Arabidopsis thaliana: one gene and its partner. The protein of the gene in region 1 interacts with the protein of each later gene in a biochemical or structural test. Each region holds a gene or a part of one and is shown on either strand. Other genes may lie near its edges.

The links. Proteins that work in one complex are often made in the same cells at the same time.
Region 2: of the proteins of PIN4 (region 1) and D6PK, one has a biochemical effect on the other in vitro, tested with the Arabidopsis thaliana proteins (one study listed by BioGRID).

What each region holds. Positions count from the first base shown.
Region 1 is NC_003071.7:179,498-185,779, forward strand, and holds PIN4 (Auxin efflux carrier family protein), read right to left. Parts: upstream 4,268-6,282; 5' UTR 3,703-4,267; coding exon 2,508-3,702; intron 2,351-2,507; coding exon 2,083-2,350; intron 1,944-2,082; coding exon 1,858-1,943; coding exon of another isoform or gene 1,847-1,857; exon of another isoform or gene 1,481-1,846; coding exon 1,323-1,480; intron 1,229-1,322; coding exon 1,152-1,228; intron 1,048-1,151; coding exon 981-1,047; 3' UTR 536-980; downstream 1-535. UniProt on the Arabidopsis thaliana protein: Acts as a component of the auxin efflux carrier. Plays a role in generating a sink for auxin into columella cells. Maintains the endogenous auxin gradient, which is essential for correct root patterning.
Region 2 is NC_003076.8:22,639,305-22,644,245, forward strand, and holds D6PK (D6 protein kinase), read right to left. Parts: upstream 3,111-4,941; 5' UTR 2,805-3,110; exon of another isoform or gene 2,559-2,804; intron 2,442-2,558; 5' UTR 2,331-2,441; coding exon 1,696-2,330; intron 1,613-1,695; coding exon 751-1,612; 3' UTR 509-750; downstream 1-508. Other genes in the region: AT5G55900 (Sucrase/ferredoxin-like family protein), read left to right, coding at 1-298.

The DNA of each region.
Region 1 (6,282 bases):
CATTTTTTCTATAAAGGGTGGTCTTTAGATTCATGTGCGGAAGTTCACAGAATTTGAAGTTAACATAAACTTTTTGAGATTTTTTTCTGCTAGAGATCGTGTATTCTTAAAAAAACGGGACCGTAAACATGCATCGTATGATCATAGGATTAATTAATTAGAGATTAGGATTTTGCTTCTGTCGTAAAACAGTGTTTGTTATCAAGGAATATGCTTAAATTAACTGTAATAAAATAAAATTACTGTCTTTTGAAACTTTTGCTTCTGACTGTTCAGACCTGATTTCTATCATTGACAATCAAGACGATTGACCGACATTCGCAGCGGAATTGGCATCCTATCGCTCCTTAGTTTGTTTTTTCCTTTCTTTCCGTATTAGATTTTTTTCTCGTAGTTTTAACACTCGAACTGATTGTTTAGCTAAAAAAGCTCGGGGTAGAAATAATATTTTCTCCTATGTAAGCATAATGGTTCATGAATGGCTCTCTCTAGCGGAGAATCTCTTCCCGATGAATTAATATTAATGGTATTTGTGGAAAAAATAAATCAGTACGAGGGTGTATATATATAGTATAGGACTATTTCAATCCAACTCATAAGCTAGTTTCAGTATAAACCACTTAACTAGAAACTTCAATTAATAAAAAAAGGTGCATATTACATATCTGCTTAGCCAAAATCTACACATAAATTAACAAAAACAGAAAATGAAAAAATAAAGGTAAGGAAGAGAGATTTTTTCTTCTTGGCGTCTAATGAAGACAAGATCCTTAATCCATTCAAGTCTTGTTCACTAAATCCTAAGTACTTTTGTTGTGTTCCACAAATATTGGAACCAAAAACCAAAGGCATATCTTCTTCTTCACCTTCCACTCTTTCCCACGAAAAATAAAGGCTTTGCTTATTTCCTCGTTACCGAGAAATAAATAGCCCAATCTCCGAGGCTCTCTCAAAAGCCAGTTGATACTGAAGGGACCAATTCAAAGGCCAAGAAGAATATAGTAGACCAGAGTTATAGGTAAGGCTATTAACATTCCAAATATGACCCTGCATCCATATTTTTCACCATCATTCACACATTTGTTAATATATTGTAAGTTTGTAACAAAAATAAAAATGTGGCTGTAACATAAAATAAGTTTGGAACTTACCCAGTGCTTAGAATCGTGGGATGCACATTGTACTCTTTTGCAAACACAAACGGAACTATTCCTTGAGGCAACGCAGCCTAATAATTCATGCATTCATCAACATCATCATCGTGATCATGTAATATTTATAATAGACCTAGCTATATCATGTAACGTTATAAATTTGTATACCTGAACGATGGCTATACGGAGAAGGTCGCCGTGTAAGCCAATGGCAATCCCAGCAACAGCCATGATGGCCGGACCGGTTATAAATCTGACCGCCATGGCAAACGTGGCGACAGAGTTCCCACAAGCAATGATTTTGGGTTGAAGTGCCATGAATAAACCTTAAAATTACACCAAAAATAAGCAATTCATTAACTAAAAGGATTTGAGAAAATTGACAGCAAAGAGTTAGGTCATCTACTTGGTGAGACCCAAATAAGTAGACAGAGCCAGTGGGGACTCGGCGTGGGGACCGGACACACCAACATGTCTGGGTCAGAGGGTCAGGATTCTCTCTTTGGGTAAGTGCTTTGTACAGTTTATATGACTTTTACCAATTACAAGCTGGACAACTACGACTAATTAAACACACAGACCCACTTTGCATTAAATGAATCTTTTTTAACAGATAAGATGAGAACAAATTTGAACCCAACTTTAAAGATTAGATCATCATCAAAACAAGTCTAGATTTGCATGAAGCAAGGTTAGTGTTTACCTAAGCTGAACATAGCCATTCCAAGACCAGCATCTGAGAGTATGGAGATGGATTGTTGTAATATTTTGGGCATAGCCACATGCCACCTGCTTCCAAAAACAACCCATACTCATTATTAGTTCCCACTACAATTATTCCATGCATAGATGATTATATTATTTCCTTTTCTTATTATAACATTTATCCATAAAATCTGTAAGTAAGAAAATGATTGGACTCACTGACCGGTAAGCAACAAGAGCCCATATGAGACCGATTAGACTGGAGTACGTGTTTGGGTTTCTGATCAGCTTTCTCCACACCATTATCAATATCAGTCGTGTCATCACACTTGTCGGCGGCATATGTGTTCCGTTGTTGCCGCCGCCATCTCCACCAGCCGCCTCTAGCTCCGCCGTGGAATTAGACCCCATTTTATTCAGCCCTGCTGTAGCTTTCTCTATCTCTCTTTCTCCCTCTCCACTATCAAGACCGCCGATATCATCACCACCACCTGAGAAAACCAAAAATCATGAATACATACAAAAATAATAGTATTCGAATAATAATAAAATTAAACCAACAAACCTCTAGCATATTATTTATGTAAACAATTTTCCGCAATTTTAGCTAAATAATATTTGATGACAAAAAAAAAAAAAAAAAAGAACCTCTAGCATTACTCTTTCGAGGTTGATCAGAGACAACCATCCGAATCTCCTTAGCACCTTGTTCAGATTGTTCCGTTGCCACGTTGTCGCCTGCACCTCCGCCAAACACGTCGGAGACCGGAGAAGCGCTTGAGCTCCAAACAAACATGTGAAGCTCCTTAGCGTCATGGCTCGCTTTGCTATCTTTCTCTTGCAGTTGCTGTTGGTTTTCTTTAGGAATTTTATTCGGTTTAGTTGAAACACCCGTACCGGTTGAAAACTCCGGGTTCGGAGCCGGGTACGAACCGGCCGCCGGAACAGAACTGTTAGTGTTATTGTAAAATCCATATTTAACGGCGTTGTTCTCTTCGAAGTTCGAAGGCCGTGGAGTCGGACCACGAGAAGATTGAACGGAGTACAAATCCGCCGGACCAAAATTCGAAAGCCTCCCGCCGGGAAACCCCATAACAGAGTAAAAATCAGAATGGTTAAAGTTAGAACCTCTCGGAGTCGAACTAAGACTATAGATCTCAGCTCCGGTAAGATTCGAAGGCCGTGGAGTCATCATCAGTGACCGTCTCGATGCGTTTGATTTCCTCACGGTAACATGAAGCTTCCCGTCGTTTCCTATCTCAGCATCCGTCTCAAGAAAATCATGACCGTCGAGAGAAACGACGTCGGATTCAACTTTAAACGAAACAATAGACGCACCAGTCTCCGGGAACTGCTCCATAATAAGAAGCTTAGCGCCACGGTACTCGAAGAGGAAGAGAAGGAGAGTGTACCAAATGATACACTGAAGAACAACGACTTGGACCATTAGAGAACCTGCGTAGGTTCCGTACATGGCGATCAACAGAGGGATCCCCATGACAAGAGTGTTTGGGAGAGTGCTGAGAGAGAAGATTGTGATCATCCACTCCAAGCTACCGTTCTTGGTTAGGTTAGCCCATAGAGCAAGTAAGACGAGCATGATGATTTTTTGAAGCGTGTCGGCGGCGACGAAGCGGAAATTCATGGCGTAAGGATCGTTGGTGGAGATGAAGTGGAAGGAGAGGAGAGGGACGGCGAAGATAGCGACGAAGCGGTTGATGCCGGAGCACTGGTCTGGTGAGAATATCTTCCACCACTGTACGGATCCGTAGGCGAGAATCATAGCTACGTAAAGTGGTACCACGGCGGTGAGGACGGTGTACAAGTCGTGCCACGTAATCATTTTTTCCGGTGGGTTTTGGAGTTTAGTGAGAAGACAGTGGCATTTGAGGGGGAATTAGAAGGAAGAAGAGGGGTAGAATGGGAAGAATAATAAAGAAACCGTTAAGAGAGAAAAGTACAGTAATGATTTACAAGGATTCGGTGAAGAGGACTAATTTATAGAGGTTTTTGAGGCAGTGACAGTGTCATCATCATCATCAGCACACGATTACGTTTTTTAAGTTTGATTAATAATTTGATTTAAAATGGCTTTGTGTGTAGTTGAGTGGGGACACGTGGCAAATCGCATGTGGGGGGAGTTTTCTGGAGGGACGTGGACAGTTTTATGGAATAGTCGTGCTTTTTTGCTACTATCTTATTACGAAAAAGTGGTCTTGTTTTTGCACTTTTTGAAAGTTGCAAAAGGAACTTTGGCGAATACTACGAATTACTGTATCTGTGATCGTTTTTCTTGTAAATGTAATTTGAGTTTTGATTCCAAATAGAATCAAACTATTGTCTACGTACTTGGTACAAGAAGACAGCCACATAAAAATTACAAGAAGAACAAATGTCATTAGTGTTAGGTCCAAGCCACTGTTGGACCGTTGAATTAATTACACACATTTATTCCCTTTTCAAAAATTCTCACTTGCTATGACTAGAATAATATTTTGTTTTTTGTTTTTGTTTTGTTAAACTTGTAAATATCATTAAAAATAAAATTTGAGGTATTACAAAAAAAATATTACTTATAGTTACTTATATTACAAAAAGTATTTACAAGCTCACATCTCGTCATTTTCTCACTCTTAAAATTTTACTCTCCCTTATCTCTAAAACTTCAGCCGCCGCCTGCGTTTAGGGTTACCGGTTCCGGTGGCTTTCTCAGCACCGGAACCGAAGTCTTTTGTTTTGCTCTTATTCTATCTTTTTTCTTTAGACACATCTGAGAGATTTTTTTCCAACGGTTGTGAATCTGAATTTTCAGATCTAGATATTTAAAGTCTAAAACTTTTTCTTTTTAGGTTTTTGCTGTTTGTCTTTTGTCTTTTTCAAGAACAGAGTCAGATCTGGCCGATCCATCCAAGGCAGAAGCGTTTCTATCCAAATTTTCGCCTCAGACTTCTGAAATTCCACCTGAAGATCCCGATCTCGTTCTCTCCTTCATGAGGCTCTCACTCCTTTGGGTCTCTGGATGATGGTTTTATCTCATCGCCCATTCGTGTTTAGGTTGAGTTAAGTGAGGCTTCTAGTCTCAGATCTATCAGTTTATCATTGTTGTTTTAGACTTTGTATATTTCGTTTGAACTCTTGGATTTTGGGTCTGGGAAGTACTTGATCAGATGTGATGTAATTTGTTAGATCGGTTTTTTTCCCCTTTGTTTCATTTAAATATGTTTTTAGTTCCTGGAAGGTCCCATGTACTCTCCGGCTTTTAGAAGAGTGTTTCTCTTGTCAGCTCTTGTACTCAGATCTTCTATCAATGAAATCTATATTTCCAGTGAAAAAAAAAATAGTTATAGATAGATGTTGGTCTGAGACTCTCCGACTCATTAGACCATCCTCATCGAATAATTTTTCATAGATGTATTTCATATAAAATAATATTAAAGGTATAGATGTCTTAAATGTTTTAGGAAGATATAATTTTCATTTTAATGACCCTCATATTTTTTATTTGTTTTACTCTTTTATATTTAAAAATAGCCATCTAAAAACACTCATAAAAATAACCAATGTGGATACTCTTAAATCAGTTTGGACATAACCAACAAAAAGGAAAGAATAAAGAAGTAGGTGGTCGCAAAATCACTAGGATTTGATAGATTCAAGCAGAAACTAAAAGGAGCGAGATTTCTGGGAAATATCAGAGAAGCAGACGAGGTCAAGTCCTATAAATCTGATGGAGAGTAATGTATAGAGGCATCAATTGTACACTAGAAAATCCCTAATATTACTTACTCATCTAGCTCTAAGAAGTAAGAACATCTCAGCGAAATCTTTGTAACTTTATTTCGGTATATAAAAGTCCAGTTTGATTCTTAAAATTGTGATCATGTTTGATTCGATGGAGGACTAGTTATGCGATCTTGCATCCACAATAGAGTAATATTGACCAGAAAGAAATTACAAACAAAGTTACAATAGTATGACATGGAAAAATACCAAATCCAAAGGATCATCAACGTTGGAATGTAAAAATTTTGATTTGTGTAACTCATAGTCATAGGATGTGTTCGAGGAGTGAATAATCTCCCATGCTTAATACTAGTATATATCTGGATGCGAAATTCGCAATTTTTTTATTTTTGTAGCGAAATGGTAAAAAGAGATTCAAAACATTCATCCAGCAATCACTTTAATTAATCCGAATGATTGCAAATGAAAATAGATTCTTTATTGAACACATATGTTTACAAAACAAGAATAGTATTTTTTTCTCATAAGCCTTCCGGAAAAAGTCTACTTCATCATAGAAAAATGAGAAAAATGATCAATGATCATCTATGAGATCAACGATCATAGATGGGATTTGTAACACAACAACACAATAACGGGTTTCATCAATTTTCAAGTCTACTTCATCATCCATCAAGAC
Region 2 (4,941 bases), on another chromosome or scaffold:
GTCTCGAGCTGTCCCAGAGCTGAACGGTAGTGGTTGCCAACAAAATGGGAACTCCTCTTACTGTCTGGAGGAGATTCACACAGAGAAAAATACCTCGGAGAGAGTAACCTCTGTAAAAAATGCATCTCTTCGGATAGGAAGCAGCGAGAATGGATCTTCTGGTGGATTCAAGGTTTGTGCGGTGATGTCAATGTGGTTGGAGACTTGGGAGAGAGAAGATACATATGCTGCTTTAGCTGTTGCTTGTGCTGCTGCATCTGTGGCTATTGCTTATAACTGCTATAAACAATTGAAATGAAGCTATGTGTTTTATATTTAGCTTCTATGCAATGGTAATTATCTCAGTCTTTAGATTAGTTGTTTCCTCTTCGTCTGTACAGAGTTAGAAGAGGGTTTTAACTCTTAAGTAAGAACTGCTTGTTGATAACATATGATTATTATATATCCATTTGTAAGTAATTACGGGTTTAGTCAATTTGGTTTAGAGTTCAGATCAATGAAAAGCAAGGAACTTTTGAGGTTTTGATATGGTGGATTAATGGATTCTCAATGGTTCGTGTCTAACATTAAACTCAAGAAGATGGTACAGAGACTGTCTCACAACTTTGAAGAATGATTACAAATCTCATAACTTTTTCCAAGACGTGAAAATTAAAAAGAAGAAAAAAAAAGAAACACATTTGTAGAAAACACTAAACAGAATTTGCAAAGAAACAATAATGAGAATCATCAACTGTGGAAACAGTTTCTTCAGAAGAAATCAAACTCAAGATAATTACTCTGATCAGATCTTACACTCGAAGATGCGGCTGCTGGCACAGTAGGAGTAGGATTCAAAGCTTCAAGATCAACCGGTTTAGGAATCTCCGGTGGACTGGCACATCGAACCAGAGCCCAATTCACTCCTTCAAAGAAAGGATGTTGCTTTATCTCTGTTGCTCCACGCTTATAAGCTAATCTATGTTGTGGCTCCTTCACAAGCAAACTCCTTATCAAATCCCTAGCTGCGAAGCTAACAACCGGAGATTCAGGGAATCTAAGAGGCTGACCAACCACGTTGAAGAGCGTTGCTCGATTTCCTGACCCTTTAAACGGTGTTTTACCAAACAATAGTTCATAAAGAAAGATCCCAAAGGTCCACCAATCAACTGCACTTCCATGTCCTTCACCTTTGATGATCTCTGGAGCTAAGTACTCGTGTGTGCCAACAAAAGACATAGAACGGGCGCCTGTGGGCTCTGCAACGAGTTCTGGTAACGGAGTTACTTGGTGGTTCCCGTTTTCGGTTTTCGGTTTCTTGTCTTTCTTGGATTTCGATGAGAAGAACCGAGGACCGAAGCAAGATGTTGGAGCCATTGAGATGCAAGATGGTTGCTGGATGCATGCAGGTTGTTGCGAGCAAGAAACCGAATTCTTCGACAAGCCTTCGGATCCAACATTAGCTGATCTGACTATAGAGAGGCTCACAGTACATCTCAGGGAGAGATCAAAATCCGAAAGCATCACGTGCCCATCATCTCTCACAAGAACGTTCTCGGGTTTCAGATCACGGTAAATGATCCCAAGCATGTGTAAATATTCCATTGCAAGAAGCACTTCCGCGACATAAAACCTGCAAAACAGCAAGTCACTAAGGTTATATAAACGCACAAAACTAGATTCTTAGATAAAGAAAGTTTAGAAAAAGTTTCTTACTTAGCTGCTTGCTCGGTGAAGCGTTTCCCGGGTTGTCTCTGCCTTAGTGTATGCAAATCACCACCAGGACAAAACTCCATCACCAAACAAGAGAACTTCTCTGTCTCAAAATGACTATACAAAGTCGGAAGAAACGGGTGATCAAGACACTGCAATATCTCTCTTTCAGTTTGAGCCCTAAGAAGCTTTTTCCGGCTAGCCAAAGCAGTTTTATCCATAACCTTCATCGCAAAATAACACCTAGTTCCATTCAACTCAGCAAGATGAACAGTTCCAATATCTCCACATCCTAACCTCTTCAAGAGCCTAAAATGATTCAAACCCAAACCACCATGTTTAGTTCTAACAGCTTGAATAGCTTCCCATCTCACATCATTAGCCTTGTGAGGTTTGTTGATACTGCTACTAAAGCTGCTACAAGTGCTCTCATCGCTTATATCACTGCTTGTACTTGGTCTACAAGTGCTACTCTTTCCACTCTCACCTTGCTCGTTGATCTTACTATTACCGGTTTTGCCATCACTACTTGGATCAGCGAAAGACAAACTCGAAGATACTTGATCTGCTAAAGTGTTGATTGACATACTTTGACTGGAATTGGTAAGTGATCCTTCTGGAGTTTTTGAAGCCATCATTAACACAGAGCAATCTTAAACACCAATTCCTTCTTCCCTGAGATTTAAAGAACTTGTCTTTACTCTCTAGTAATCAATACTGTCACAGATTCCATCAACGAGTGGCCTGATCTATAGTCATCAAAACAAAACAATAGCATCAGTTTAAAGCTGGATTGAGAAGACTCAGAAACAACAATCACGGATCTTACTACAGATGAAAGTTTAAGTAGATGCACAAAATTTTACCCAAATTGAAATATCAAATCTAAGTGACAAATCAATTAAAGCTCTTCATGCAAAAAGTTTGGATTTTTATTTTGAGTCTTTAAGGGTAAAAACAGATCTCGTTAAAGTAAAGAAGAAGAAGAGGCAAAATAAAGAACTTTTGGATCTAGCAAGAATCAGAGAATAAAACCCAGAAAAAGAAGAAATAAAAAGAACAGAGCTTTAGAGAGAGAGAGAGAGAGAGAGAGAGACCCAATAAATCGTTACCTGAAAGTGAAGATTTTTGAGCGATAAAGATCACGAGATACCCTTTTCGAAGCAAAGGGAAGGAGAAGTAGAAGAAAAAAGGAAGGAGAGGGAAAGAGAGAGAACAGTCACTGTTCATGTAAGGCTGTAGAGAGAGAAAGAGATGTAAGAACACATCTGCTTGCTTCCATGGAAATGGGGATAGATAGAGAGAGGGAGAGAGAGGAGAGAGTGTTGTTAAGAGAGAGAGAGAATTGGGTCTACCATGAAAAGAGGGAAGAGGAGAGAGAGGGTCAAATAAAAAGTTGAATACTTTTTTTTATTTTTTTTATTTTGAGGGAATTTCAATTATTTCAATGTATTTTTTTTTGTTTTCTCCAAAATGGAAGACATATGTTTACATCAAGAATGCTCTCGCGAGCTGTTAATAATTTTAGGCTTTTTAGGGCAACCAAATTTTTATTGATACATGTTATTGTATATTTCCTACATGTTTACTTTATATTTTGATTTTCTAAATAATTGTCTATAGAAATTTTTATATATATTTACCAAAAAAATTCCTTTTTGATTCTTTAAATTATTAAACACATCAATTTAAATTATTAAAATTCAACATTCTTATCTTTCATCTATTCTCATGAATCTGTCATGTGCCTTTTACTTGATGATAAAAAAAATTGATGTTTACCTCTATGCATAAATTTATGGATTTTACATATTTAGCTTAAGTTTTCACACGAGTTTTTCAGTTTAGCAATTCTAAGTAAGAACTATTGTGAATGCACATTTTTGTTAGAAGGACAATCCCATATGCGTGCCACCAAACTATAATTTTCTGTTTTATTTATGCGGTTTGGAAAACATCGTCCTAAGCGTATGTTTTCGTCATCATGCAGCATCTTCGGAAGTTTCTTCTTGTGTTCTAATGGGTGAAACTTGAGGCATTAAATGAACATTAGCGCATACCATATCACAAAGAGTTTTGCATCTTTTCGGATTGCCAATAGATGATAAATCTTATAAGCTGAATGAAGACATAACAATAGATATTTTATATCTCGATTTCTTTTGTTATCAATTCCATTTACATCCAGTGTTCATCCAATTTTATGGTCGAAATAATACTTTCTAAAAGCTTGTTAGCATCCGTCAAACATTCTGTTTTCAAATTTTTAGTGAAAGTTTTTGTCATTTACCAAAATCAATAAAAAAAAATCTTTTAAGTTTTTAAAAATAACTAAACATTCCAAAATTGTATAAACCTTTAAAAAATTTCCCTAATAACAAATACGTAAATTGGTCATGTGTATTAATTTTATTTTATTTTTTTACTAAACACACCAAACAATTATTTAAAATTAGACTCACCATTGTTTGAAACTTGAGAGTTCCAAAAGATGCCCCTAAAACTTTTCAGCAAATTCTTATTTATTGCCCAATAATAAGTTTCCTTAGATTCTAAGATTATATTTCATGTATTTTATTTTTTTTCCCCCACATTTAAATCGAACAGAAACAATGTTTTTTTAGAAATGGTTCAACAGGTAGTTGACAAACCAGAAGATTGTTCAACATAAAAGAACACAAGTGGGTATAATTTGTTCATTTCCTCATATCTCAAATAATTCATATTTTAACCTCATGCTCTTATTAGATCCAATTACTGCGTCAATTTTTAATCGAGAAGCTCAGATCCAATAACGACAATTGCTACACGATCGGCTTGTGACGTGAAACGCGAGTGGGGAATCTTTCTTCATTATAATCCCATTTCTTTAGGTTAAAAATACTGCAATAATAACAAAATAAAAGGTTTAGTTTATTAAAATGTTTTGTTTACCATGATACTTGAGGGATTAAGGTTTCTAAGTTTCTTCATTACAATTTAAATCATAGCTGGACACTGTCACTAAGGATGCTTTAACATTTAAATGGTAAGAATATCCATTTTTATACAAGTTTCTAGGTTTACTCTTAGATTTAGATCGAGTCCTCTCAAAGTCTTAATTATATTATTTTCTTAACAAATTCATAGAGATTCAATGGTTAAAAGATTTATCGTGAAAATTAAAGATTCGAGTGTTCCTACAATGAGATTAATCATTATTGGTGGTAGTTGTGAATGCTTTAAATAGCAAAAATACCTAGTTCTTTT